4 linked regions of the Tamandua tetradactyla genome follow. The protein of the gene in region 1 binds, or shares a complex with, the protein of each later gene. Links are inferred from orthologs where the notes say so. Each region holds a gene or a part of one and is shown in the gene's direction. Other genes may lie near its edges.

Region 1 (7,172 bases):
GGGTAAGATGTTGGGTAATTGGTGCTGAAAGGATACAGATTGTGCAACGGGACTGAATGTAAAAACTCAGAAATGGACAACACAATACTACCTAAATGTAATACAATGATGTTGGAACATTGAATGAGGCTGAATGTGAGAATGACAGAGGGAGGAGAGCTGGGGGCACAAACGAAATCAGAAAGAAAGATAAGACGTTAAAGATTGAGATGGTATAATCTAGGAACACCTAAAGTGTATAGTGATGGTGACTAAATGCACAAATTTAAAGAACGTTTTTGCATGAGGAAGAACAAAGGAATGTCATTAGTGCAGAGTGCCGAAAACAGATCATAATTAATATTTTAAAATTTTACCTTACGTGTGAGACTAAAGCAAAAAATGTTTATTTGGTACTAAATTTAAAAAAATAAAATAAAGAGTTAAGAGTAGAAAGATGTACAAAACTAAGCCTTATGCTGTAGAAGCAAAAAGTAGAGTTTTAAGAGCCAACAGCAATGAACAGTAAAGAAAAAGAACAAAGTTTGAGAAAAGGTAACAATATAACAAAGTTTGAGAAAAGGTAAGAATATAACAAAGTCTTGAGTAACTTTTAAGGCAGTAATGGCATAAATTAGATTACAATGGGTTAAGAATGAGTGACAAGTACTGAACACTGAATGCCTTGAAAATTCTTCTTATAAAGAATTTACAGCTACCTTATGAAATGGGTCTAATCCACCTTACAATAATATAACAACGAAATTAGTTATCACAGGAAGTGCTGAGAAGGAGCCCACAAAAACTGTTGGGTGAAAGAGATGAATTCAAGTGTTGGCTCAACTTCACCCCAGTTCTGTATGCTGTTGTAGCCAGGGACAATTTAATTTCTAAGAGCCTCAGGTTCATTTGTTAAAAAAAGAGGCCAATATCATCTAATATTCAGCCACTAGGGGAACTAAAGTAACATAACTCCTTGCCATTTATAAAATGCTTCTCATTTGATTCTCCCCCAAAATTTAAGAACTAAGGTAGATGAAAAAAATTGGGGCTCAAGAGGTTGAGAGAGGTATCCCATAACTGCACAGCCCTTTGGTGGCAAAACTAGGTCTAAAATCGCAGCCTTTAACTCTTGGTTTCCAACATACTCTTGCTTTCCAACAATCTGCATCCACATTTCAAATTCATAAGGACCTAATCAATGTTTTTGGTCTTTCTGAACTATCTGTTCGAATTGTACGCAATTTTTTCTACAAAGTCTGACTGATAAAGTATAACCACCGCTTCTATTTATAGCTCTTCACTGTCAGAGTCCTAACTGATTCTTCTGGTACACTACCAGGGGAAAGTATTACCTTAAAAAAAAAAAGCTTGTTACCAAAAAACATGAAAAAATACACATATCAAAAGGGACCCCTTCTGAGCATTTTTTTCTGGACTTAAGCTAAGCTTTCTAAAAAAGAAAAAAAATGAATAATCTATTAAGTCTGGCCAGCTTCAACTTATGAGAAAATGATTAAGCTTTTGACTACGTTTCAGCTGCAACAAAACTAGCCTCTACCAACGTGGTTCAATTATAACGTTTTTATTTCAAATCCTGAACCTGTCCTAACCTGCTGACATGGGAAATGTGTTCAAACACGACAGGGTCTTCCACACAGCAGATGTTTCCCTTTCTATTTACTGCCTCGTTCCGGCAAGAAGCAAGCTATACCGTAAACTAGTCGTCCACATAAAGACCCAAACGACTAAACTGTAAGAAGAAACCCTGAAAACCGCAATGCGAAACCGAGCAAGCCAGGCATGAACAGAGAAACACAGGGAAAAGGAGAAAAGGGAAGGGGTTGTGCCGCTGCGTGAACGCACACAGCTAAGGGTCCTGAAGGCCTGAAGGGTGAGACAGGGCAGGGCCTTTCCCGCCGGCGACCCCAAATAAGCGTCTGCAGAGTGGACAAGGGCGAAAGTAAAAGCGGCGGCTCTCGATGGATTTTACCCTCCATTGAAGGCGTAGGGTGAAAAGCGAAACTGGGAGGGACCCGCGGTTCTGTATGGCTCCATCCCCAGCTCTCGGTCAAGACCACAGTGCATAGCTGCTGAAGATAACATAGCTCAGCCCCAGATGCAGCTCCGGCTCCGACACCTGCTGTCTCACAGCAAGATGGCGGCTCCAGCCGGAAGTGACTTCACTTCACTTCCGGAAGTGAACACGTCAGTTCCGGCTGCTCCTCGGCGCCCACCTCCAAGCCGCTCTATCATGCACTCCTCGGTGCTCCTGGAGGTCACCGGCGCTGCCAGGATGTGTCGGTACCTCGGCGCTCCCTAGTCCAAAAAAAGCAGACAAAAATGTAAAGGGCTTGTGGGTTTTTTTCTTACGGAAAAATTCGAATTCCCTCCGAATGGCCAAAGATTTAAAAGTCTGACCATATAAAATATTAGCAAAAATGAGGAGAAACGGAAACTGGAAAACGCTATTGGTGGGAATGTAAATTGGAATAGCCAATTAACAGATTAGCGTCTAGCATAATTGAAGATACGCATACCTTGTGGGCCAAAAGTTCCAATCCTAGGTATATACTCTAGCCATAAAACACGTAACGTAAAACCAAAAGACATGCTTACCATCTGCAAATCCCAACCTTGCTCCATACCTTCCTTGGCCTGCGTAGACGCTGTAACCCGCCAAGCAATGCGCAGTGCTGCTCCGAATGCCCTGCACCCGCCCAGGACCAGCCTCCTAGGCTTTGAGTTCCAGTGAACTGTTACCTTGTTGCTTATCAACTGGCCTGCTTCATTTTTCAATCTTAAGGGTCCATCGAATTTAAGCAGACTCTATTCTGCAGGTTCCTGGCAAGACAAGGTGGACTACACGATATATACAGAAAATCTGGGATCAGAAAATGTTTTTGAAAGTACTTGTTTAATTAAATGTTGAAATATTTTCCATATTTCCCATAAATAAACAAAGGATTTTCTTTGATGTTATGCAGAAAGAGGTATTGTACTTATTCAGTTCTCTCCATAGGCTAACAAGGTGCCAGATATAGTACGCGATACAAAAAGCATAGATAACACTTCCGATCCTTAAGTTGCTGACCACCTCACTGATAAAACAGAAAAAATAAAGAGCAAATAAAAAACAAAGCAGTACAATATATGATTATTCATTTTTAAAAAACTAGAAGCGAGAAATCAAGGTGTGCTGGGTTCTAATCAAACATACAGAAGTAAACGAACTAAGAAACAACTAAGATTGCCGAAAATGGTTGGATTAGATAGGGTTCTCTGAGAGAAACTGAACTGGCAGATACATATATATATATATATATATGTAAATATTAAGAGACTTATAGGAATTGGCTCACAGAAACTTGGGGATCGACAAAACTGAATTCCATAGGGCAGGCAGCAAATTGGAAACTCTGTGATGATGTCATTGAATGCCCCAGGAGAAGCTGACTGGCTGAAGTAGAGACAGAAATTCTTTCTGACTGCTGAAATCCTCAGTTCTTTCTTTAAGGCCTCCAACTGGTTGGATAAGAAGAATCCTCTCATTGCTGAAGGCAATATCTTTTTTACATTATAGATGCAATCAACAGTAGATGCAATGAACTGATCAATGACTTAAATCCATCTCAAAAGACCCCCACAGAAACAATAAGACCAGTGCTCGCTTGACCAAACACCACCATAACCTAGCCAAGTTGACAACTGAGATCAACCATCATGATGTTACTAGCAGAATTATAAATACAATTGAATCTCTTTATTAAGGCTATCTTTTTGTTTTACTTATCATTATATATTTTTAAGAAGAATTAGGTAACCTTCAATGAATGCTTACCATGTGCCAGGCACTGTTCATCTATTAACTGAATCTCACAACATCTCTGCAGGGTAAATAGTATCATCCCATTTTAAAGACGAAGAAACCCAGGCACAGATGTCAACTGCCAAAGGTTACAAAACTACTTGGTTTAAATATATATTTTTTCTTTTTTTTTTTTAAGCATATATTGCTTTCCTGCATCCATCACCGACCAATTAGGAAGTATTATGGCAAAGCGGCCCCGCCCCAGAACTCTCCGAAGAGCTCCCACCCTAATTTCCCGTAAACCGAGCGCTCAAGGAATAGGGAAGCGACATGTGCCCACACTTCCCATGGCCGTCACTCGAGCATGGTTAGCTCGCTGAAGCCGAGGGGGCACTGGCGGAAGTGACGTCATCCAGCGCGCGCCGGTGTTTAATAGGGTCGGGAAGGGTCGCGGTGGCGGGTGCCCAATCTGGTTTGTGTGGGCCAGTGGCGGTTACCTCAGAGACTCCAGGTAACGGCCTCTTTGACTCTCTCTGTTCTCGGGAGGGCTGTGTGTGCGGAAGGATGGCGATTCGTGCATCGAGGTCCTCGGGCCGATGAAGGGGGAGGGGACGCGGAGCTGGGCGCGCAAGGCTCCGCGGGCTGCCGGACGTTCCTCCCGGCCCGTGCCGCCCACCGGCCGGCCGGTCCCCGCTGCCCGCCTGCCTCGGCCGCTGCCCCCAGCCGGGTCGCTGCACGGCTGTGGTTCGCAAGGCCGCTTCCCGCCGCGCAAATGTTGGGTGCTGAGCGTTTAGAGGGGCCCAGAGCGGAGGACAGCCAGGTGTGTCGGAAACCCATAATCTTTCCTGTCCTTTTCTGTCATGCCTCTTCTCTTCGGCAGTGGACGGTGGATTAACTCTGGCCTGGGCCTGCTGGTTTTGCTCCCATGCTGGTTTTATCGTGAAGTTCTGCTTGGGGCCTTTTTAGGATTCTCATAATCCTGAGACTTCGGGCTCGGTATGGCTTCTCTTAAATAAATAAATTCGCACTGCTGTATTTACAATGCCTACATGTCTGGAGTCAGGCCAGTGTGATTATCCAGTGTGAAGCTCCAGGTAACGTTCTCTGTGAAAAGAGACCTCATACAGACTGCTGGATGGGTTATGCAGACGCTAGAAGACTGTGCAGAATTCATTGGTTCTCTTCACTATCAGTCATTGCCTTCAGAAAACAAAAGAGCTTGTTTGATGTCTTCAGCTTCCAAAACATGGAGACACTCTCTCAACAATGATCTTTTCTAAGGATAAGTCAGTACAGTTGATATAGGTGAGGAAGTGGCAGTCTCTCCCATCCTGGAAGTGATGGGCTATTTCTGGGATTAGCGCTGAACGATTATGACGTAAGACTCCCAGTCTAGGTTCTCAGGCTTCTTTAGGCTTTTAGTTTGTGAAAGATAGTCTATAGATACCAAAGGCTCTGGATAAATTTCTAGGTAGTGATATTTACGGTGCTTTAAATCCTGCCTTGATTATCTCTTGCCTTAACTACGCAGCGACCCCTTAAACTAAGCTTCCCTTCTCTAGTCTTACTACCCTCTAATTCATCCACATTTTTGCCAAAATAGCCCTTCTGAAACACAGATCTATTCATTCTACGCTTCAGGATTGTGTAACTGCCATTAGTGCCTATGTGATAATGCCCAAAATTCTTCATAATGGGATGCCAACTATATTTTCTGTCTCATCTCTTGCACCTACCCTCTAGATAACTAAACTAAGCTGCTTTTATTTTTCTTCCCCTTTGTGCATGATCTTCCTTTTGCCTGAAATACAGATTGAGTCTTACCTTGCTAGACTCAAATCACATGGTCCTTGCTTTGTGAAAACACTGCCTTGTCTCCAGAGTGCGTCACAGTTCATACTTCCTTCTCTTCCATACCATATATGTATTCATTCATGTATATCTACATTCACTCATTTATGATCGCATAACTATGTTCCAGGCCCTGTGCTTGGTGCAGAAATTGCAAAGACACATATGCCTTCCATGATAGCACATACAAAATGTTGCAGTAAATATTTGCACACCCTTCAGTTGAATGATGTCAGTGGCTATATCCCCTTTGTCTTTATACTTTATACATTTATATTATTATTTTAGGGTTACAGTGTCTAGAAAAGTATACTTTTCTTACATCTCTGATATGTTTATTTTCAGCAGCACAGTTTTCTTTTTTCATTTTGATCTTACTAATAGAGGGTATTTTGAGTTTTAGTATGTGTTTGGTTTGATTTGGTTTGGTCTGTTTTTGGTGATGAGTATGTAGAAAATGTAGTCTTTGGGAACTTTCGCCCTCTCAAAGTGATCATCAGATTCTTTTATTCATTCAGCAAATATTTGAGTGCCTGCTGTGAACCAGGCACATAATTGAGATGTATGTAGTTCTTTTATATTTAACCTGCAACTTTGAGACCTGTAAGTGCTATATGAGAACTTTTTATTAGATGATAAATGTTTGAATAGAAATGTGCATTAAACTTCAAACTTTTTCAGAACAGCATCGCTTATCCTCAGTGTGCATGAAGATAACCCAAAGAGTTGAGGAAATTGGTAGGAGTGCACTGGTGATGCTCCAGGGAAAAGACTGAATGCTGAGAGAGATTCCAGTCCAAGGGTTTTTGGTTTACCAAGAAGAGAGTGAACATCATGGATCAAAACAACAGCCTCCCACCTTATGCTCAGGGCTTGGCCTCACCCCAGGTAACACCGCTGGAGGGAGGGCATAGGTAGGGAAGACATTGTAAGAAACAGTAGAAAAGGTAGGAGGGGGTTTAACTATGTAGTGTTGAAAATTATTTCTAACCTTGTATCTGATGCTCCTTTTATCTACCTTATTGACAGATGCATAAAACAAATGGAATAAAAATAAATAATAGAACAAATGTAAAAATAAATTTAGTAGATTGAAATGCTAGTGATCAATGAAAGGGAGAGGTATGGTATGTATGTTTTTTTTCTTTTTCTTTTTATTTCTTTTCCTGAATTGATGCAAATATTCTGAGAAATGATCATGATGATGAATATGCAACTACGTGATGATATTGTGAATTACTGATTATATATGTATATTTGTATGACCATATGTTAAGAATGTTTGTTTGTTATATTTCTAAAAAATTAATTTAAAAAATAAGGAAACGGATATCTAGCTTTTTAAGCCTTTCTTATTAGTTTTCTTGAGAAGTTCTTATTAGGCTATGACTAAACATGATAATGTTTCAAGAAGTTTATTCAGAGGCAAAATTCCATTATTTATCCGTTAAACACTTACTCTTTTGATAAATACTTGTGAAAATGTTCCAAGTGATTATAGAGTCTTTGATTTTGAAAGTTGTGCTCACTA
Region 2 (6,826 bases), on another chromosome or scaffold:
GCATCTGGGGGTGACCCCATCCGTGGTCCGCAAGAGATACAACTTGACAGCACAAGACGTGGGCTCTGGAACCACCAACAATAGCCAGGCCTGTGCCCAGGTGAGCCGTGCAGACAGCCCCAAGGTCCTCATGGCTTCCCCAAGGTGTCCTTGGTGACTTACTGCCTGGGGTTTCTTGCTCTCTGCCTCTGACCCCTAGGCTCTCATTCCCTGGCCTGTGATCTGGGACTGTGTCCTCTGACCCATGACCCCTGCTCTGACTCCCTCCATAGTTCCTGGAGCAGTACTTCCGTGAAGCAGACCTAACTGAGTTCATGCACCTCTTTGGTGGAAGCTTTGCACACCAGACATCAATAGCCCGTGTAGTTGGACAACAGGGCCGGGGCAGGGCTGGGATCGAGGCCAGCCTAGATGTGGAGTACCTGATGAGTGCTGGTGCCAACATCTCCACCTGGGTCTATAGTAACCCTGGTACTGCCAAGGGGCTGGTTGGTGGGGAAGAGGGTGGAGAGTGGGCATTGATCCCAGATGCCTCAAGGGACTCCCATGAGCTGAAGGGAGATCCTGACAATGCCCCCACCAATAACGACCTTTGTCCTCTCCCCCTGGCCCCTTATCCCCTACCCCTGCCCATAAATCCAGGCCGGCATGAGGCACAAGAGCCCTTCTTACAGTGGCTCCTACTGCTCAGTAATGAGTCAGCCCTGCCACATGTGCACACCGTGAGCTACGGAGATGATGAGGACTCTCTCAGCAGCAGCTACATCCAGCGGGTCAACATCGAGTTCATGAAGGCCGCTGCTCGGGGTCTCACCCTACTCTTTGCCTCAGGTGACCTCTTACCCTAACCTTAGATCCCTACCCAGCCAACCTGGGACCTTTAACCTTACAGTGATCCCTGAGCCTGATCTTTGAGTCATAACCTGAACTCAGACCCTCAGTAGGGACCATAGGTCTGACCTCTAGACTCTGACCTCCATAGCAATGACTGACACCTAAACTTCCACTCTGATTTCTGAACCCACAATGAAGGTCTAAGTGCTAAACTTGGTCTCTCTCCTAGGTGACAGTGGCGCTGGGTGTTGGTCTGTCTCTGGAAGACACCAGTTCCGTCCTAGCTTCCCTGCCTCTAGGTAAGTACCCCAGTCTACCACTTACCTGTGACCACCAGCCTCTCACCTGTGATCTCATGATGTAGAATCTTTGTCTTGACCTCACCAGGCCCTCCTATTGCTCAGCCCTTAGCTTTACCTCCCCTAGTTGCTACACTCCCTTCTCTTCTTCCTGTAGGTCCCTGGCCCCACACCTTCTGAGCGGGACACAACCCCCAAGTGTTCTTCCTCCCAGTCCTGAGGCATTTAGGGGAAGATTTGGCACATGTTCTGTAGAGAAATGTATGGCCAATCACCTGTGGCCATGTCTTGAGGGCCCAAAACCTCTTAGTCACCCCAAAGTACATCCTTCCCCATGGAGTCTAGCCCATCCAGCAAGATCTAGTCTGTACTCACCCACCCTCATACATCTTGGAGTTCCTCTTGAATTCCCTGTAACCTGAGGGCTGTCTTGTTCCCTCAGCCCCTATGTCACCACAGTAGGAGGCACATCTTTCCAGAATCCCTTCTTCATCACAGACGAGGTTGTTGACTATATCAGTGGTGGTGGCTTCAGCAATGTGTTCCCACAGCCTTCATACCAGGTATGTGTATGTTTGTGTGGATGGATAGGTGGTAGTGTTCGAGATCCTCACTAGTTCAGCAGACTAAAGGGCAGGCTACAGGCCAGTACTCACTCCACAATGCCTTTTAGGAGGAAGCGGTAGCCCAGTTCCTGAGCTCCAGCCCTCATCTGCCACCATCCAGTTACTTCAATGCCAGTGGCCGTGCCTACCCAGATGTGGCTGCACTTTCTGATGGCTATTGGGTGGTCAGCAACAGCGTGCCCATTCCATGGGTTTCTGGCACTTCGGTGAGAATCAGCCTGGGTCTAAATCTCCTCTCAGGAAACTGTCCTCATCCTGTACCCCCAAGACCTTATACTCAGAACCCCTAACTCCTTAGAGACCTCCCTATAAGTCCAATCTCTCTCAACCTCTGATTTCTACTTACACCCTCATACTTGTAGGCCTCCACTCCAGTGTTTGGAGGACTCCTGTCCCTGGTAAATGAGCACAGAATACTCAGTGGCCATCCCCCTCTCGGCTTTCTCAACCCAAGGCTTTATCAACAGCGTGGGGCAGGACTCTTTGATGTAAGTGTGGTAGGGAAGGGTGTGTGCTTTCATATGAGTATGGGGAATGGTAAGGTAAACTTGAGGGTAGTTCTGATGGGGTGGGGAAGTCTCAGGGCTGTGAGTACAGGGTGAGGATCTATACTATCTGGTAGTACTGGAACCAGCAGGTCCAGATCTGATGCCTACTTCCTCCCCAGGTGACCCGTGGCTGTCATGTGTCCTGTCTGAATGAAGAAGTGGAGGGTCAGGGCTTCTGCTCTGGTCCTGGCTGGGATCCTGTGACAGGCTGGGGAACACCTAACTTCCCAGCTCTGCTAAAGACATTACTCAACCCCTGACCTTTTCCTGCCAGGAGTTCTGGCATGTCCCCTGCCCTGCAACCAGTGCTGGGTCTCTTATTCTGCACTGTTGGAAACCCTGCTGAACCCTCAACTGTTGACTGCTGCAGACAGCTTTCCTCCCTAACTCTGCAAGGCTGTGAGTTTGACTTGACTTCCAATCCTCCCTTGTTCCGTCATACTTAGGTCTCCCTACTCCTGCCTCAGGTTCCTCTGCAAGATGCTATAACCAGAACTTTTGGGGATGCCCCATCTCTTCTAAACCTGACTTTTCCAAAGGTTGTCCACAATATGTGCACTTTTTCATGTTCATTCAGCCCACTGCAATGAATCCTCTGCTTTAATGGGTTATTCTATCCTCCCCTGACAGTGGGCTCACCGTGAAACAATGGCCTCCTTGCTGCTTCATCTTTGCTTTATGGGCTCTCTATCACCATTACCCACTCCCTCTCCTTCCTTAGCTTCCAGGACTTAACTTCTCCTTCTCTGACTACTCCTGTCTTCTTCAATCATGGACTTCTCTTTTCTGCTTACTCATTGAATACTGGTGTTCACCATTGCTCCATCCTTAGTTTTTTGCTCTGCTCACTGTACCCATTGTCCCCTAGAACAAATCACTGGAATCTCAGCCATCACTGTCTCACTAAATCAGCCTCTACCCAACAGTGATTGATACCTCAAATACAAGATGTATAATATTCAACACTTCATCTTCCTCCTTGCCAAATCTGAACTGTTCCACCTCTTTATTTTCTTCTTGGTGATTCCTACTATGCCCCCTCCAAGCCAGAAACCTAAGAGTCATCCTACACTCCCATTTCCTTTACCTTACCTTCCCCCTACCTTCAATCAACAAGTCCTACTGACTTTACCTTGTAAGTATGTCTACATCAATCCATAAATTTTGCCAATTGTATTTCCTAAACATATCTGGAACTCATCCATGTCTCTCCATCTCCACTGCTACTTTGTTAGTTGAAGACTTCTCTCTCTGAACAGGAGGCCCTTGCAAAAACAGTGTCCACACTTCCTGCCCTTCCTAAACTTTTTTGAGAATATGCATATGCGATCAGGTCATACTTGATCAAAACCCTTTAAAGATGACTGGATAAATTTCAGGCTTTTTATCATGGCTTGCAAGACCTGATCCCTTCCTTTTTTGTTATTTGTGGCTGACGAACAAATTGATTATCTTCCCCTTGCACAATAAACTCCCTCTCCCCAACCTTTGCTCAAGCTGTTCTCTTAGACCTTTGCCTGGTAAATTTCCAGGATTCTTTCAAGACTCCACACTTGGAATTCACCTTCTCTTATGAAACTGTTCAGTTGCCTGAGATTCAGTTAGATGAATTTGGTATAGAAAAACAAAAACAAAAAAACCCAGATTTTTGTAATCAATCCATTAAATTCTTGATTCTGGTATGTACTATCAAAAGGCCTTAGGTAAATACTTCTATTTCTCTGAGCCTCTCAGAATAATCAGGGAATAAGTGGGATAACGTTGATAAAATGCCTGGACACTGGAGTAGGCAGCAAATATTAGTTCCCTTCCTCCTTTGCACTGCACACCCTGTGCCTACCTCTACTATTGTAAGTACCACATGGTAATGAAATTGCCAGTTTCCTTGTTTGTCTCGCTTTCCAAGACCGTCGGTGCCTAGAGGACTAGAATCTTGTCCTACTTAAAGTTGAATTCCCAGGCTCTAGCTCAGGGGTTGGCAAATAGAATTCAGTAAATGCTTGTCGAATTGAAAACCTCGCGCTTTCTCTGGCTTTGATTTGCTTATGTCATTTGCTCGAGGCCGAAATAACGCTCCTCATCTACTGGAGCATTGTGTCCCGCCCTCCTGCTTCTGCACTTCTCTGGGCAGTTGGCGAGACAGGGGACGCGGGATGCTCTCCCACTCCACTACGATCTCTTAAAATCTGAATGAGGGCTCCAGAGGGAAAGCAGATTGGCAGACAACCTGTGGTCGAGGGTATCTGGCCGATGCAATATTTTGGGAGCGTCAGCTGAATGGAATGTCCCCAGACCAGCACAAGAGAGTCCCGGAAATACAGTGGTTGTTTTCCCGGCGGAACTGTCTCGGAGTACCGCTGAGTGGGAGAGCAGGCTGGCCCCGGCCTGCGCAGTTCTCCAGGTATTGGCCTCCGCTCTTGCGGACAGTTCACCTAATTGGCCAAAGAGAAACAACCTAAGGCCGGAGACCCGAGGGAGAGAGCAAATATGCTGTGGGAGGAGCGAGTTGTGAAGCGTGTGACATCACCCTGGTGTGTGCGTAACGTGGGCGGAAGCGGAAGCTGCTCTGTTCGCCGCCTCTCTCACCGGCCCGATGAGCTGCAGCGGCTCCGGCGCGGACCCCGAGGCGGCGCCGGCGTCCGCCGCCTCGGCCTCGGGTCCGGCACCCACTGCCTCGGCCTCAGCAGCGCTGCCTGCCAGCGCCGCCGCGGAGAGCAAGGGCAGCCCCGCAGGGATAGCAGGGGGCCCTGGGGCTGGAGCCGCGGCTGGGGGCTCGGGACCCGTGGCGGCGCGGGCTGGAGAGACGGCCGAGAGGCGCGGGGCGAGTGAGGGCCGGGCCGGGGCGGGTGAGGGTGAGGGAAAGCGCCTGGGGCTGGGTTCAGAGGCGAGTAAGGGTAGAGGGCACAAGCGTCTGCGACCCAGCGGCGAGTAAGGGGACAGGGTACTAGGGTCCTGCACGCCCCCACCTCCGTTTTCACTTTGTTGGTTCTCCGCTAGCTCCTGTGTCGGCGGGCGGCGCGGCGCCCCCGGAGGGTGCCATGTCTAACGGAGTTTACGTACTGCCGAGCGCGGCCAACGGAGAGGTGAAGCCGGTGGTGTCCAGCACACCTCTGGTGGACTTCCTGATGCAGCTGGAGGATTACACGCCTACGGTGGGCTTCCCGCCTGAACAAGGCCACTTGGCCTACTGTCATGCCAACCTTTGCCATGAATTACTTCCCCAGTGCTTTCCTGTGTTTGCTGCCCTCCTCTTATGATCAATCCCCTCTCCCCTTCCTGTGAGCTTCCTGATAACCAGCCCTGTTCTCCATTTCCCTTGCCTTCCCTCATTCTCAGCCCAACAGAGCTCAAGGTTAGCAATGACAGTTGTCTAATTGATTTCTCAGATCCCAGATGCAGTGACTGGTTACTATCTGAACCGTGCTGGCTTTGAGGCCTCGGACCCACGCATGTGAGTAAACACTGGACAAAGTAGAGTTCTGGGTGCTTGTATAGAAGTTGTTTCCCATCTCCTTTTCATACCAGTTTTTTCTCTCTAGAATTCGGCTCATCTCCCTAGCTGCCCAGAAATTCATCTCAGATATTGCCAATGATGCCCTACAGCACTGCAAAATGAAGGGCACAGCCTCCGGCAGCTCCCGAAGCAAGAGCAAGGTGTGAGGGGAGGCTCACTGAATCAGTAATTATCCTTCACAGCCTTGGAGGCTTAACTTATCCTGAAACCCTTTAGGGAAACCAAGTCCTAGGGGAGACTTAAGACCTACTCAGGGTCACCACCTGGGATTGAAATCTGAGATTCTTGTGCTCAGCTGGTGCTCTTCCCTTTCCCCTCAGGACCGCAAGTATACTCTAACCATGGAGGACTTGACACCTGCCCTCAGCGAGTATGGCATCAATGTGAAGAAGCCGCATTACTTCACCTGAGCCACCCAACCTAAATGTATTTGTCCCCATATCCCCACACCAGCCTGTTTTCATAATAAACTTTATTGTGACAGGCAGGCTGATCCCTCCCATGCTGGGAGACACCGTGTGGCAAGTGACAAAGCTCTGAGCCCAGCCTCTTTTGGGGCCACAGTAACAGGGGCGTGGGTAGGGGATGGGCCCCATGGCTGGGGTAGTACCATGACTGGAGACAAAGGAGGCAACCAGAGGCCTGCTGCTTTGGGGAGGGGCACTCCCCCAACTGTGTCCTGACACCCCTGGAGTTTTTTAGGGAAGGACTTTCCAGCCCTACTTGTCTTGCATCTTCTCCAGAATAGGCACAATCATGTCAAACTTAGGTCGCTTAGCAGGGTCTTCATTCATGCAGATCTTCATGAGCTTACACACATGAGGGGAAATACCTGGTGGGATGGTAGGCCGAAGGCCTTCCAGTGCCACCTGCAAATAGAAGGACAAACAAGGTAAACCTCACAATTTCAGTGTCGTGGGGAAAGGCCTATTGGGACAGGATTACTGTATATCTGAACAAGTCTGGGAACAGCCCAGACCCACCACAGTTACTGCCATCACCACC
Region 3 (7,315 bases), on another chromosome or scaffold:
TTTCTGGTATATTGCATCCCAGCAACTAGCAAACAAGAACAAGGAGGGTCTTGAAGACATTAGGCTCCACTTTCTTGAGCCTAAGGCCATTCCTCACTTGCCCTTTGGGATGGTGAAGGAAATGTCACATGAGGTTGGGCTTGTCCGAGTGCTGTCAGGACAGGGCAGTTCCTCCCCTGAACCTTGGAACAAGCTCTTCTCTGCCTTAAGCTGGCCCAATCATTCATGCTGGCTATGGTGAGTGGGAGTAAGCCAAGAGAGTGCTAACAATGAGTCACTGGAGAGTTTGCAAACACCTACAACTGCCATCAGAGAGATCTGGGTCAGTCTCAGAGAAGAAGCGAGCCTGACTTGGATTATAAGACAGTGAGCGGACTGTTAATCAGCAGTGTTCTGCCATGCTTGGAGAGAGCCTGTATGGAAAGAGGAGGGCAGTCAGCCGTAGAAGCCTGGAAAGAGCATGAGAGGCTGAGTCCTGTGTATTTTTAAGGTAGCTCTGCCCGCACCAGGAACAAGACTTTGGGCCATTTATTTTACCTTTGCAAGCCCTGAGGCCCTCATCTGTGGGGCATACTCAGCCTGGCACATGGTGAGCATCTAGTGCCTTGGTTCTGATTATTATTGGTGACTGCACCTGGGTGAGGGGGCTTGGCCAAGAAGATTTAAGCATTGTCACTTTGGCAAGTGAGAGGTGGGGAGGGGACTTGCCCAGGCAGTAGGCTCTACTTCAGACCTGTCAAGTCACAGGCTTCCCCCTCTTCCCTCTTCATCTCTAAAGGTTGCTGGCTCGTGGACTCTCTGCTTCATGGTGCTACAGCATTCTCTGCTCTCTCCGAATCTCTCATGCTCCAAAATGTTTCCTCTTTTATAGGACTCCCTGGGATGAATGGGCTGGTCAGGCTGACAAGTGCCTTTTGATTTCGTGGCAACGTCTTCTCTCTGCTGGTCTTGAGGTTGCTGCAGAGGGCTCTGGGAGTGATGTCAGCCACAGCATCTGTGTATGGGAGAGGTTGTGAACCGGAGGTCCAAAGCAAGCCTGGTGGCAGACTGGGGACAGAATGCAGAACTGGAGGCGAGCTTTCTGCAGTGTGCACTTGTGATGAATCCAGTCTGTTCAGGGCTCCAGGACAGATCTGGACTGGAGGGTTCCAGGGGTGAGTGGGTGGGGCTACAGCAAATGTGGGAAGCCATGTGCTAAGGGGAATGGCTGGCTCCTCTACTGAAGCACTCACTGATGTGAGTGTGGGAGCAAAACCGGGCTGCCTGGCAAGATAGGCTTCTGACACAGGGCCCCAGATTCAGGGTCTCACTGTATGCGGTGTGCAGTGTTCTGCCTGGAAGCCCAGCTGTTTGCACTACTCTACCTGAGTATTTGGGTACAGATAACCTTATCCAAATGTACATTTCCTACAACAGATGCTGCGCACCGGGATGAAGGTGGCCTGCTGAGAGTTTTGCTAGGTCTACTTAAAAATTTTCTAATTAGCTATTAAGACACAAAAGACCTAAAATAAAAGTTCAAATTTCTATCATTTGAAAAATCAGACTGTCTTTGCACACTGAGCTCTTTGCTCAAGGCCACCCTGTGGAGATGGGGCCTTGGCTTTTTAACATTCAGTCCCCACCATACCCAATGTCTCATCCCAGCTACCTGGTTAGTTCACCTACAAAGTCTGGGCTTCTACACTGCAGCTCAATACTCAATTAATGACTTACTGGGGTGAAAGCCTAAGATTTAAATTTTCTTTCCTTATTTTTTCATTTCCAGGATACTTTTCATGAATGATAGCCTTGCTTCTGGAGGCCAAAATTCAAGTATAAAATTCAGGTTATATGTTTATAGGACATATAAACATTTTTTTCCTCTTTCCTTGGTTTTAGCCTCCACTGCTGATAATTTTTTTCAAGAGAATAAACGTGGGGTGGGGGTGTGAGGGAACATAGCCACACATCATAAGGCAAAACTGCAACGCGTAACACACACAGGCACACAAAGCCCCAGCGAGACTGTTCTTGAGAGCTGAGCAGTCTCTTTTGTTTAGGCAGTTTTAAAAATAATTTACTATGTCAACAATTTCATTCACTGTGAGAAGATTTGTGCTTATTGTGGTGATTATCTCTTCAGTAATTAGAGACGACCCTATGAGCGCATGTTGTGAGGTCTGAGGAGGGGGCCATTTCTCTGTGGAAAGGGTTTCAAAAAAAGAGGAAGAAAAAACTATTAGCAATGTCCAATTACACCATCTTGGGAGTGAAAACAAAATCAAACTAGTAAACATCCAGAAAGAGGTAACTTTAAGTGAAATATTTCTATGAAGTAGGTGCTGTCAATATCGTTTTGGATAATTTACTTGGTCAAAAAAAGTGGAAATAAAGAACAGGAAATCACCTCTAGATCTGATTGCTTAGTGATGCAAAAATTTTATTTTGTTCTCAAGGGCACTGTCCACTTACCCAATAATTTATGAGATATTCCTGCCTAGGAGGGTTGACTTGAGTCGGATTACATGACAAGCACTTGAGCGTCAGGTCTTTTTCTTGTACCTTGAAAAACTCCGTTTATTGACCTAAAGTTGAGGGAAAGGCCCAAGAACAGTTGGTCATATTAAGGGGGTAAACGCCGGTGATTCAGTCCAGTACTGCGAGGCTCATCTGGCTGGGGCCCCTCAAGCCCCCGCCCCCTGCTGACCAAGGCGGCGGCTCCATGGCATCCCCCCAACGCTGGGGGCGCAGGACTCCCAGGAGGAAACCGCGCACGCGGCCGCGTCGCTCTCCTCCTTACTGTACAGGAAGCACATTAGGTGTACGCGGCCCGGCCCACCCGTGCCCGGCCCTCGGCGCCCCGCCTGCGGCCTCCTCGACCCGCGTTCGCCGACAACGCGGGACACGGGGTCCTCGTGGGGAGGCTACAGCCCCGCGCCCACTCGGGCCCGCCCCCGGCTCCGCCCCTGCCCGGGTGTTCCCCGGCCCGGAGGGGGGCGGGCGCATACTCCCCAAGCCCCGCGGCTCCCAGGCCGCGCTGGCCGCCGCCGCTGCTCGTCCTCCGTTCTTCCGTCCGTCCTCCCGCGCTCAACGGCCTGAGCAGCCATGGCGGCTGACGCCGGGGGTACTGCTTCCCCGCCGCCGCCGCCGCCGCCGCCGGGCCTCAGCTTCCGCCCTTCCCGAGGGCCCGGGCGGCGGGGCGGTCGGCCCCGGAGCGGACGACGGCCTCCGCGCCCCTCGCTGCCTCGCCCGCCCCAGTCGGCCCGGCCGCAGCCATTTTGGAGCGCGCCGAGACAAAGAGATAGCTGCTGTCGCCGCCCCTCGCTCGCCCGTGCCCCTGGCCCGGCCCGGCCACCCGGCCGCCCGGGCCTCGCGTCGCTGCGGCCGCCCGCCTGCCCTCGCCGCCGCCCTAGCCGCCTCTGCAGAGCCGCGCCGCCACGCCGCTCTGTGTCCCCGACCGCTCGCCCTCGCCCCAGCCTCTCCGACTCGCGGCCATTTGCCGTGCTTCTTAAGCGCGCGCGGCGGCCAATCACGAGGCGCCGGGCGCCCGGGCGCGCCTGCGCACTGGCGCCGGCCGCCTCCCCCCGCGCGCCACCACCCGCGCCGCCCGCCGCGCCCCGCCCCCGCCGCGCGCCGCCCCCGCCCCGCCTGCCGCCCGCCCCGCGCAGAACCTCCTCCTCGCCCAGCGCCCTCGGCCCGAGCGGCGGCGGCGGCGGCGGCGGCCGAGGAGAAAAGATGGCGGCGGGCTCCGATCTGCTGGACGAGGTCTTCTTCAACAGCGAGGTGGACGAGAAAGTGGTGAGCGACCTGGTGGGCTCGCTCGAGTCGCAGCTGGCGGCCAGCGCGGCCCACCACCACCACCTCCCGGCGCGGCCGCCCGAGGCCCGGGCCGCGGCCGCCGCCGGCGCGCTCGGGAACCATGTTGTGAGCGGCAGCCCCGCGGCCGCCGCCGCCGCCCCGCCCGAGGGCGCCCCGCCGGGACCGGGACCGGCGCCGGAGCGGCCCCCCGCAGGTAGAGCGGCGCGCGGGCCGGGCCCGCGGGCGGGCGCTGTCAGCGGCGGGCGGGCGGCGGGCTGGCGGGCGCCGGGTGCGTCCTCACCGCCGCGCTCTCGTTGTTCTTGCAGGGGCCGGAGCGGCGCCGGGGGCCGTGACGAACCACAGCGCGGTGCGGACGCCGCCCGAGGCCGCCGCAGCCACCGCCGCCAGCCGCGCCGCGTCCCCGGGTTGTGCGCCCGCCGTCGCCTGCTCCCCCTCCCCGGGCGGCCCGGGCGCAGGGCCGGAGCCCGCCGCCGCCGCCGCCGCAGCGCCGGGCAAGTCCGTGGTCCTGAGCACCTCCATGGCAACCGCGCTGGCCGCCCGCAACGGCAAGCTGGGGCCCCCCGGCGCTGTGCAAACTTTGAACGGGAGCAGCGTGGTGGTGAACTCGCACCTGGCCGGGGGCGCCTTCGCCGGCACGTCCCCCGCTGCCGCACCTGCTGTCGCCCTGGTCAACAACGGGCCTGCGTCCGTGTTGCTGCCGCTGGCTAAGGCGGGCGCCGGCCCCGCGCCCCCGGCCACCGCCCCCGGCACTGTCATCCAGACCGCCTCGTTCTTGGGAGCCGCGGTCGCCCCCGCCCCCGCTTCCTCGGCGCCCACCGTCATCGCAGCCGCCCCCGCCGCCCCGCAGCCGCCCCCGCCCGCCCCCGCCGCCGCGGCCCTTGCCCGGCCGCCTGGCCCCCCGGCCGCAGCCTCAGCTCCTGCCCCGGGGCCCCCCGCCGCCGCCCAGAACGGGAGTAGTACTGTCATCAACTCGGCGCTCGGTGCGGGAGGCCTGCCCGCCGCCGCCGCCGCCCCCCCGGCCCCTGCCGGCTCCGGGACGGCCCCGACCACCCTGGTGAACAGTCAACCGGGGTCCGGCGCGCCCCCTGCAGCGCCTGCGGTTCCCGCGCCCACCGGCAAGGCCGAGTCCCCGAAGACCGTGGTGCAGCCGCTACCCCCGCCGCCCAGCTTGGCGGCCGGCTGCGCGGGGGGCGCAGGGCCCGGCATGGCCATCGGGCCGCCTGTGTCTGCGGCGTTGCCCGCCGCGCCCGGCCTTCCGCCGCCGGCCCCTGGCACCCCCACGGGGCTGCCCAAGGGCCCTGCCACAGCCGGCACTCAGAACCTGCCCAGGACGCCCACGGCCACCTCCGGCGGGATCCGGGCCACCCTGACACCCACCGTTTTAGCCCCCCGCCTGCCGCAGCCACCTCAGAACCCCACCAACATTCAGAACTTTCAGCTGCCCCCAGGTAAGTGGGGCGCGCTCAGCGGGAGGAGCAAGTGGGCCTGGCTGACTCCGCAGCGGCTTCCAGGAAGTCCTGCCGGCTGAAACGTTCAGAGTCCGCGGTGGGCCCTGGGGGCTGTGGTGGCCGCGAGGCTGGATTGGGGGCTTGCTGAGGCTGTGCCTCGCCCAGGTGCTGTGGTGGCCTGAAGCTGCCTGAGTGTGTGTGCGTGCGTGTGTACGCGGTGCCCGCCCACTGGAGCAGCGTGGGTTTTCCATCTGTGACATCACGGCTGTAGCCTGGTACAGCCGCGGTGCTTGGCCTTCCCCTTGCTGCTGTCTGCCTTTCTGGCTTTCCCTGCCAGGATTTCGCCTTAGGGCCTTCCGCCTTTCTGTCTTGGCCCTCAGGGCCCCGTGTGTGCCGTACACCCCACCTCCCGTGGTGACAGGGGACCTGCCTGGAGCATGGCCCCACCTTGGCAGTTTCGGGCACCACCAGCTTTTCCTGGTTCCTGGACTTAGGTGTATGGCCTGTGTCCTCACTGCCCTTGCTGTGGTGGCCGCCGCCTCTCCCCCGTAGAGTGGGCTAGAGAGATCACTCTTATGAAGTTGACCTCAAGGCAGGGTGACCACCATCTTTGAGAGGGGGAGGGCTTTTCCTCCGATACCTGTCTGATAGAGATCTTACAATTGCAAGGCCTTTAGGGGTGGAGTGCTAGAGGGGTCCCGGGTGTGCCCCCATGGTCACCATCCTTACTGTACATCCATGCTCTGGGGCGTTCCTTTGGCATTCTCTAGCTCACCGGTATGGTTTTTAAACTCAGTACTGTTGCTTGGAAAGGATGTGTGGTTAGTTTTGTCAGGATCCTCTAGAGATAGCAGTGGCACAGGACCACGTGGGGTGAAACTGGACCCAGGACGCTTGGTGACTGAGGGCTCGGTCTCAGGCTCCCCCTTTGGGTTTCTGCATCAGCCACTGGCCTGTCACCTCTGTGAGGTCAGGACATGCCCCAGCAGCATGGCACACTTCTCTGGCTTAGGAGTTCTCTGGGAGGGGGCGGCTTCCCCAGTTGGGCTCTGTCCTCTCCGCCTCGCCCTTCTGGAGAAGGCACTCCAAGGCTGCTGTCACGTGTGGCGCAGCTGCAGCAGCAGTTACTGAGGTGAGAGCATGGCCACCTCCTGCATCCCCTTGGGCTAAGTGGTTGGTCACTTTGGAGGCGGTTCAGCAGTGTAAGAAGAGAAGGTGCAGGAGTGGGGGCCAGGCTTCCACAGGCAGCTGCTTTCCTGTGGTCCCACACCTTGGCATTTTACAGCCCACACAGCTGTTTGGGGTGGTGCGGGGATTTCAGTACTCCAGGAGAAAATGGTAACATACAGAAATACCTGAGAGATACCGAGTTCCCTGGTGATCCCAAGGAGTGTGTCGGGGCTCTAATCAGCTCCTCACCTGCATTTGTATGTTTCAACCTGGTGGAAAGTGTTCCATGGCTGACCTTTAGTAACCTTTAAAGATAATTTGTGGGCACTGTATATTGTGTAAAATGCCAGGGTATTTTTTATGCACTTAGCTTTTTATCTAATTATAAAAATGCCTTTTTAGTGGTCCTGTTCATGCCAGGCCCCTCCCTTACACCTCCTCAGGCTACCCCCCAGGCTGTGTTTTCATTCCTTAGAGCTGGTGTGTCCCACGCCTTCTCCGTCCCCTGGCAGCCGTCATTATTTGTAGTTATTGGGGGTCAGCAGGTCACTTCCATCTGAGCCTTCACATAGGTGGCCCTGTTGCTTTATTTCTGTTGGGGAGGGCAGCAAAGGGCGTCTTTGTCATTTTCAACTTCTGTTTTAATGGCAGTTTTTAGGGGTGTCTGTATTTGACAGGTAGACGTATGGGTGGAAATGTTGCTTCTCTGCATGACTTCTCAGCATCTTCCTCATCTCTCTGAGGGCAGGGGATAGTGTGTGTTAACATGTGTGGCAAGTGTTGAGGCCTTTGCTTTCTAGAAAATAGAAGCTTTCCATCCCTTTCTTCATGTCCCTTTTCACTTGAGCTCCTAATTAGGAATTCCAGTCAGTTATGTTACTTTATTTTAATGTAGT
Region 4 (7,666 bases), on another chromosome or scaffold:
ACTTTTGTATAGGGTGTGAGAGATGGGTCTTCTTTCATTCTTTTGCATATGGATATCCAGTTCTCTAGGCACCATTTATTGAAGAGACTGCTCTGTCCCAGGTGAGTTGGCTTGACTGCCTTATCAAAGATCAAATGTCCATAGATGAGAGGGTCTATATCTGAGCACTCTATTCGATTCCATTGGTCGATATATCTATCTTTATGCCAATACCATGCTGTTTTGACCACTGTGGCTTCATAATATGCCTTAAAGTCAGGCAGCGCGAGACCTCCAGCTTCGTTTTTTTTCCTCAAGATGTTTTTAGCAATTCGGGGCACCCTGCCCTTCCAGATAAATTTGCTTATTGGTTTTTCTATTTCTGAAAAATAAGTTGTTGGGATTTTGATTGGTATTGCATTGAATCTGTAAATCAATTTAGGTAGGATTGACATCTTAACTATATTTAGTCTTCCAATCCATGAACACGGTATGCCCTTCCATCTATTTAGGTCTTCTGTGATTTCTTTTAGCAGTTTTTTGTAGTTTTCTTTATATAGGTTTTTTGTCTCTTTAGTTAAATTTATTCCTAGGTATTTTATTCTTTTAGTTGCAATTGTAAATGGGATTCGTTTCTTGATTTCCCCCTCAGCTTGTTCCTTACTAGTGTATAGAAATGCTACAGATTTTTGAATGTTGATCTTGTAACCTGCTACTTTGCTGTACTCATTTATTAGCTCTAGTAGTTTTGTTGTGGATTTTTCCGGGTTTTCGACGTATAGTATCATATCGTCTGCAAACAGTTCTTCTCCCATTCTTAAGTTGCTAATTAAAACTCACAGGTAACTTTCTTCTTGGCATGTACTTTGGTCTGGGTTTTTGTTGGGCTGGAACACTAGTTTCGATGATTATTTTAGACAATACATTCCCTACAAATAAGCATCCATTTGGGACTTGACATTTACTTTAATACTGTGTCAAACACCAGCTTTCATTGTCCATTAATAATTTAATATGCACAATCTGATATCCCAAACAAAATATTAATTCTAGATAATGGGCCCCAAGTCTTTACATATTCTTAATCAATACCTTAAACATATTTTTGAACTGAATAATCTACAATCATTTAGGAATGGGGCATTTTAACTTTTTACTGTGAAATTGGATTGGTAGAAACACATACAAAAAATTCCTACATATTCTTACCCTGATTTTCTACAGGTTAACATTTTATCACATTTCCTCTATCAGGCAACCAGGCAAGTACTATCATTAACTACGAACATGTCAAAACCTGCACAATGATTACAGCTGGGTTTGATAATTATCTTACATATTATATTCATTTAAAAGGATAATGAAAGCACTTCAGATATTTCTGCTTGCAGCAGGCATGAAGACTCAAGTTAAAATTAAAATCTAATTCTAACTGCATGCCCTTCACCATCTCTTCAAAAGGGTTGGGTTTTTTGTTACCAAAACGGACACGAAGTCCACTCCACAAGACTACAGCCTCAATGATTAGTTTTACCTGTGGAGAAATCACAACCTGCGCTGCAAGGCAACACAGGCCTTTATTTAGGGTCTTAGAATTGCAATTAGGGAAGAACAGATTCAGGTTGCAACCCAAATTGTGTCTTGGGTCTTCCAGGCAAGGGTTTATAGAAAAAGATCACACAAGTTGTTTGTGTCTGGTGGGTATTAGGGACCCTCCAAATGTCCTTTAGGTTTGATAGTTAACTGAGTTCATTATCTTGTGATTTGTTTATGGTGTTTTTAGGGTTTTGAGGAACACTGTTGCATGAACCATTGCACAATTTGACAGTTTTTAATACCTGGCTGAGATTTGCTGAAAAGTAACTGCCAGAATAACCTCCTGACTCCATTTTAAATCTCTTAGTCATAGTAATTCTATTTTGTTTTCTTTCTTTTTGCAGATTAAAAATGTAGAACTTGGGCGGGCCGCGGTGGCTCAGCGGGCAAAGTGCTTGCCTGCTATGCCGGAGGACCTCGGTTCGATTCCCGGCCCCAGCCCATGTAACAAAAACGGAGAAACAGAATACAATAAAACAAGAAAATGTTTAAAGATGTTTCCCTTTCTTCCTTCCTTCTATCCTTCCTTCCTTCTCTCTGTCTTTCCTTTAAAAAAAAAAAAAAAAAAAAAAAAAAAATGTAGAACTTCTAGCAGGTAAAGTTAGCAGAGAAGGCAGTGTGGTTGTGTGCATATGTGTATGTGTGATGGAGTGATAAGAGAGAGGGAATTAGAAAGGTTCTAAAATAAAGATAAACTCAGAAAAGACTCCAGGAGCACAGTCCTGGGCTAGCTATTGACAAATATTCTCCGGATTTGATTCTATTGGGAATTAATGTCCCAGAAAGAGGGCCTGGAGAAGGAAGGAGTTGAAATAGAAGGCAGCTAAGTAAGTGGCGGTGCAGAGAGAACACCTCAATGGGGCATACCAACTAAACCAACCAAGCTGATTAACAATGATGAAATGCACACTTCACAGACATTCTCTCAAAACCTCTCACACTTTGGCAGATAAAAGGCAGGAATAGAATTCAAAACTAGATCTAACTCACGGTAAACCAGAATTCATCATACTATACTATGCTGACAGTAAAGGAATACGATATGGACACATTTCAGTTCAAAATAAGGAAGAATTTGTATAGAGTGATTCTACAGCACTCAGATCAAAATATGATCATCTACTTGCTTTCTGTCTCTTCCCCCTAGTCTATGATCTCTTTGAAGAAAGGACTATGTCTTTCATATCAATATTCCAAATAGCAAATGGGCACTAGTTTTTCTTTTTTTATTTTTTCTTTACATGGGCAGGCACTGGGAATCGAACCCAGGTCCTATGGCATAGCAGGCAAGCATTCTTGCCTGCTGAGCCACCATGGTCCGCCTGATGGGCACTAGTTTAGCATCATTTATTGGACATCTATGATGTAGCAGACCCATGGAACTCCCAGACAGGGACAGCTCCAAGAATGGAGTGCAATTGGTGCAGACACTAAGTCACTCAGAAGGGCACTTGGCTTAATGTTCTATTGTCACTGTCTTGAAACTTCTGTGTTAAAAATGAAGTATCATGAGACAACAAAGTATGCACAGAAATAGAGGAGAAAGGTGCAATATGCCTGGCCATCACCATTCCATGGCACCTCATTTGCATATAGATTTGTTATGCTCCATTAGCACATAATTCTGGTGGATCCACAAGGGAGGGAGTTTAAGACTTAAATTTACTAGCTTCCAGAGTTTTGATATACTATTCACATTTCAAGTAGTTAAGTAAAAATAGTTGAGTTAGTTTCGTGCAGTGTTTCCATTGTTCTTATAAGAACTAAAAACATATAACTTATATGAACTACAAAATACTAATTATGCAATTTCAGTGATTCTGCATGAGTTAAATGTTTTTATATTTGTACGTGGAACTGGCATTGAACAATATAAGCATGAATGATAAAATTCATGTTAATAATTTACATTTTAAATTTTTACTTAGTTTGGCATTAAATACAAATAAAACCTACCATGACAAGTAAAGAAACAAAGTACAGAAGAAGTTAAACACTTAAATTTTAGCACCTATAATGGCACTCTTCCCCCTGCTTTTTGAACAAGAGATCCTGCATTTTCATTTTGCATTGGCCTCACAAACTATATAGCCTGGCCTGCTCCTGTATATGATGGTAAGAAACGATACCTGTCCTGAAGATTTCATTATTCTACTGACTCTCTGGTGCTGCCTACAGGATCAGATTTTTTAATCCCTGGAGTTAATAGTTGGAGCAAAATTTGGTACCGACCAAATTATCTTCAAGGTCTCTTCCAATCCTGAGATGACTGACTAAAAACCACGACTAGATAGCCTCACTGGTTTATCATGTGATACAAAATGCCAGAAAGTGGAAAACGCAACCTGGCTCACAATTTTTTTTTCCTAGCTCATCCTTTTTTAATTGACTTTTATCTTAAACACCCTTCAGGGAACTACGGGGGTGGGGGACTCAGAAAAAATAATAAAACCCACAGCTAGTATCTCTTGCATGTCACCCAACTACTGGGAGGCACCCTCAGCTTAAGAGTTACAAAAACAAGGAATCCAAGTCCAATGGTTTAGCGCTTTTTTCCTCCCTCCCTCTTGGAGAGAGGGGAAGCGGGTGTAGTTAGTACAAAGGTTACTTGTTTTGAACCACGGTCAAAGCACGATCCTTTTCCAATATTTTAACACAGAACACAATCTGTACGACTAAAATTGCCAAAAAGGGATGCTTCACACTGAACGCAAACCCAAGTTCATCTGCTAACCTAGAATTCCCACACACGAAAGACAGACACACACATATCAATCCAGCACCCGGTTTTAGGAAGATAGACGACAACTCAGGAAATGCGACACCACCGAAAACAAATTGAGCTCAGAGGCTTTTTCCTCGCAATTAACATACATTTTGCTCCCTTGATCACATAATTTCCGTCATTCGCCGAGATGTTCTTGACTATTACACTTACCGATCTCAACCAGCTGAGTAAAGCTTTATGTTCCCTCAGGAAACTCCTTCCCCTTCACGTAAGTAAACTCCGGCTCCGCCTACTTTTAAATCCCTCCTCCTTTCCCTGCGATCCAATTGGCGCTGGGTGTCCTTATCTCCTCCCACCTCTCCCTTTTTTCCCTGGTGTTAAGTTGTACTCGCGAGATTTCGGCCCAACTATTAGCTAGGTCGCAAGCTAGCGTTCTCCCTTTCTCCGTTCCTGTTGCGAGAGGTAACGTTGTTGTTTAGTAGAGTGCTAGGGCGGGAGAATAATCAAGTCAGTCGGCGACTTCTGTCCCCGAGGCCCGGTTGCCAAGCTGAAAAAGTAGAGAAGAGAACATGGCTGTTCCGGGCTGGCGGTCGAGGAGGGTGGCTAGTCTATTTCTCCCTGGATCATAGCGTTGATTGGGGTGGAGCGAGCTTCGCAAGTTAGGCCCAGAGGGTGCAAGGTTCCCCCGGGCCTAGCTCGGCGGCCCTATAAATAAATGCGTGTTGGCGTGTATTGCGTTGTATCGGGGATGTAATTATTAGGATGTATTCTAGACAAGTACTTTGTGATTTAATAGGAATAAGTGCGAGGTAACGATTCTTGGCGCCATTTTCCTTCCACGAGGTTAGGAGTTCCCTAAGAGACCTCTCCCAGGGTCGCAGATAGTAAGTGAAGAAGTATTACGTTTGATCCTGTTTAGTGCTCTGTCTTGCTCTTACAAATCGCATAGTCCAACAACGGGATTATAACATAATCCAACAATGGTACCTAGCTGGAATGTTTCCAGTTTCTGCGAATTATTTTTGAGTGCACGCACTTCATTTTGATAATCTTTTAAATTTAATCCCAGGTGTGCCGTCGGGGCAGACTTTTATGTTTTGAGCAGTTGATACCCTATGATTTATTAACGATCTCAGAGTTTTACGTTCTTTTAAAAAGTGTAATAAACATTTTTAAATTACCCTAGAGGCTATGAGCACATATATTTGAAACATTTTGCTCCTTTTAGTATCCTCGAACTTATCGATACTCTTGGCGTTTCCCAAGAATGCTAGAGAGTAAAAAACTGCATAACTGGAAAAAAAGGCGTCGCTTATAACGGTGATGCAGTAGTGAAGATGGGTCTTTACGTCTGTTTTTTACGTTGTACAATGTTAAAGGGAAATTTTAAAAAGATGAATATCATCCTAGTCATTGCAAAGGAAAAGGTTTCACGGTTGCTTAGATGAGTTAATGTTAATTTGAAGAGACCGTAGATGAAATCCCAGACAAGGGTTTAAGATGTTCCATTGGATTCGGATGGTAAATGTTGATATCTGTTTTCATGGTATACTGGGTCCTCAGGTATACTAATCGTCTACTTTTGTATATGAAAGTGAATTTTTCTGATCTTGGAAAATGACCAGTAGTTATATGGTACTGTATTGGTATTTGTATGTTACTGTATAGTTCCTGGTAAAAGTACAGCATTTATTGGTAGTTGGAAAGCTAACGGTACTTCTGTTGGAAATGACATTACTTTCTGGATGGAATGGATCTTGTACCATTGCATAGATTTGAAAAAGCACAACCAGGAGAATGGAGCTTGTGAATGCAGTTTCTGAATTTTAGAATTTGATTTGAAATGGATAGCTTCTAAATAAGCTTATGCTTGGTAAATCAAGTGACTTTTTTTCCTAATTCACAGTTGATGTAACTTGAGAACTTAATACTCTCCATTTAGATATTTGCTGTATCAGTGATGGATTCTCTCGACTACAAAACAGCTGCTGTAGAAACTGAAGATCAAAGGTAAGTGTAAAAAACAGTTGACAGTTACTAGAAAGTTTTCAGCAATAGATTCGTAAGTTTATATAGTAAAATACCTTCTTAACACCTTGACTCCATGTTTTATATCAAGCAAATAGATATCAGGGTGGAGTGTCGCTTGAAAATATTCCACAAAGAAAGGATGCTGGCATAACTATACATACAAGATAATTTCAGGGTACTTCACAGAATTGCCATTGAAATGGCATTTCTAATAGACTGCCAAATATTTTTCGAAGCCTTAATGGAGTTTATATTTCAAATGGAGGATAATAAGCAGTTTAAGTGTTTTGGGACGTTTTAGGTAGGGCGAATAGGATTCACTGGCTAGCATTCTGCTAATTCCTACCGCTTCCATTTATTTTTTAAAAACTTATTGTGGGGTGGTGTGATGGTGGTTCAGTGCTAGAATTCTCAGCTGCCACGCCAGAGACCCGTGTTCAATTCCTGGTGCCTGCCCATGAGAAAAAAAACCTTACTGTGAACATGTTCCCTACTTTAGTCTTTGGAAGGATACCTATTTGAAATTATTAGTAGTAAGCAGTCAGTGAGAATGTAATTTTTTCTCCCTTTTTCTAGTGATAGCTCATCGTCTGGTAGCAGTTTATTTAAAACTCAGTGTATTCCTTCATTACCTAAGCAGAGGCAAGGAAACCCTGTTAGGAAATTTTATTTTCAAGAAAATGTTCAAAATAGAGATTCATCAAGCGATTCCTCTTGGGAACCGATACCACGAACTTTAAAAGCTATTTTTGAAAGATTCAAGAAAAGGAAACGTAAAAGGAGGAAATATAAGCCAACAGGAAGACCTAAGGGAAGACCAAAAGGAAGAAGAAACACCAGAAGTTCACAAATAGGCAAAAAAGAATTGAAAGACAGAGGACCCTGGTTCTCGTTTTTACAATCAGAGAATGGAAGAAACCCATTACCTTGGAAGAAAATTCTAACCTTTGAGGTGAGTCATTCTCTTATATCAATGGAAATACAGGAAATTATTTGTTGACTCTGGAAGCTTCCCTTATCTTTTTTTTTGTTTTTTAGCTTCCCTTATCTTACAGTTATCTATGCTGAATCATTCTAGCAAACTCTCCAGAGTGATGCGCAGTTCCTGAGTTCTTTAAATACATCCTTAAAGCTCATATTACTACTCATTTTTGAAGCAATGAAATTCTAAACCACACATAGCTTAATGTTCCTGGCTTTTAGTAAATTTTTTTTAGAGGCTGGATGACAGAATTGGCTGGCACCCACCTGATACCTATCAGATTAAAATATTGATTGAGTGAATGTATAATTGTCTTCCTTGCTAGAATGCGATTTATTTCTAAGAATGAA

What was found.
Region 2: TBP (region 1) and TAF10 share a complex: the UniProt entries of both Homo sapiens proteins name them as parts of the TFIID basal transcription factor complex. The link is inferred for Tamandua tetradactyla from reciprocal best matches to the Homo sapiens genes TBP and TAF10.
Region 3: TBP (region 1) and TAF4 share a complex: the UniProt entries of both Homo sapiens proteins name them as parts of the TFIID basal transcription factor complex. The link is inferred for Tamandua tetradactyla from reciprocal best matches to the Homo sapiens genes TBP and TAF4.
Region 4: TBP (region 1) and TAF1D share a complex: the UniProt entries of both Homo sapiens proteins name them as parts of the transcription factor SL1/TIF-IB complex. The link is inferred for Tamandua tetradactyla from reciprocal best matches to the Homo sapiens genes TBP and TAF1D.

What each region holds. Positions count from the first base shown.
Region 1 is NC_135330.1:84,882,377-84,889,548, forward strand, and holds the start of TBP (TATA-box-binding protein), read left to right. Parts: upstream 1-4,172; 5' UTR 4,173-4,301; intron 4,302-4,461; exon of another isoform or gene 4,462-4,610; intron 4,611-4,670; exon of another isoform or gene 4,671-4,786; intron 4,787-6,322; 5' UTR 6,323-6,475; coding exon 6,476-6,529; intron 6,530-7,172. Other genes in the region: PSMB1 (proteasome subunit beta type-1), read right to left, coding at 1,973-2,085. UniProt on the Homo sapiens protein: The TFIID basal transcription factor complex plays a major role in the initiation of RNA polymerase II (Pol II)-dependent transcription.
Region 2 is NC_135334.1:80,052,905-80,059,730, reverse strand, and holds TAF10 (transcription initiation factor TFIID subunit 10), read left to right. Parts: upstream 1-4,887; 5' UTR 4,888-4,900; coding exon 4,901-5,132; intron 5,133-5,304; coding exon 5,305-5,459; intron 5,460-5,693; coding exon 5,694-5,758; intron 5,759-5,846; coding exon 5,847-5,961; intron 5,962-6,141; coding exon 6,142-6,231; 3' UTR 6,232-6,308; downstream 6,309-6,826. Other genes in the region: TPP1 (tripeptidyl-peptidase 1), read left to right, coding at 1-100, 273-471, 643-836, 1,069-1,133, 1,576-1,696, 1,807-1,965, 2,122-2,247, 2,427-2,567; scaffold protein ILK, read right to left, coding at 6,541-6,690. UniProt on the Homo sapiens protein: The TFIID basal transcription factor complex plays a major role in the initiation of RNA polymerase II (Pol II)-dependent transcription.
Region 3 is NC_135327.1:59,658,579-59,665,893, reverse strand, and holds the start of TAF4 (transcription initiation factor TFIID subunit 4), read left to right. Parts: upstream 1-4,295; 5' UTR 4,296-4,318; coding exon 4,319-5,249; exon of another isoform or gene 5,250-5,467; intron 5,468-7,315. UniProt on the Homo sapiens protein: The TFIID basal transcription factor complex plays a major role in the initiation of RNA polymerase II (Pol II)-dependent transcription.
Region 4 is NC_135334.1:49,332,762-49,340,427, forward strand, and holds the start of TAF1D (TATA box-binding protein-associated factor RNA polymerase I subunit D), read left to right. Parts: upstream 1-4,665; 5' UTR 4,666-4,765; exon of another isoform or gene 4,766-4,847; intron 4,848-6,223; exon of another isoform or gene 6,224-6,245; 5' UTR 6,246-6,263; coding exon 6,264-6,313; intron 6,314-6,910; coding exon 6,911-7,286; intron 7,287-7,666. UniProt on the Homo sapiens protein: Component of the transcription factor SL1/TIF-IB complex, which is involved in the assembly of the PIC (preinitiation complex) during RNA polymerase I-dependent transcription.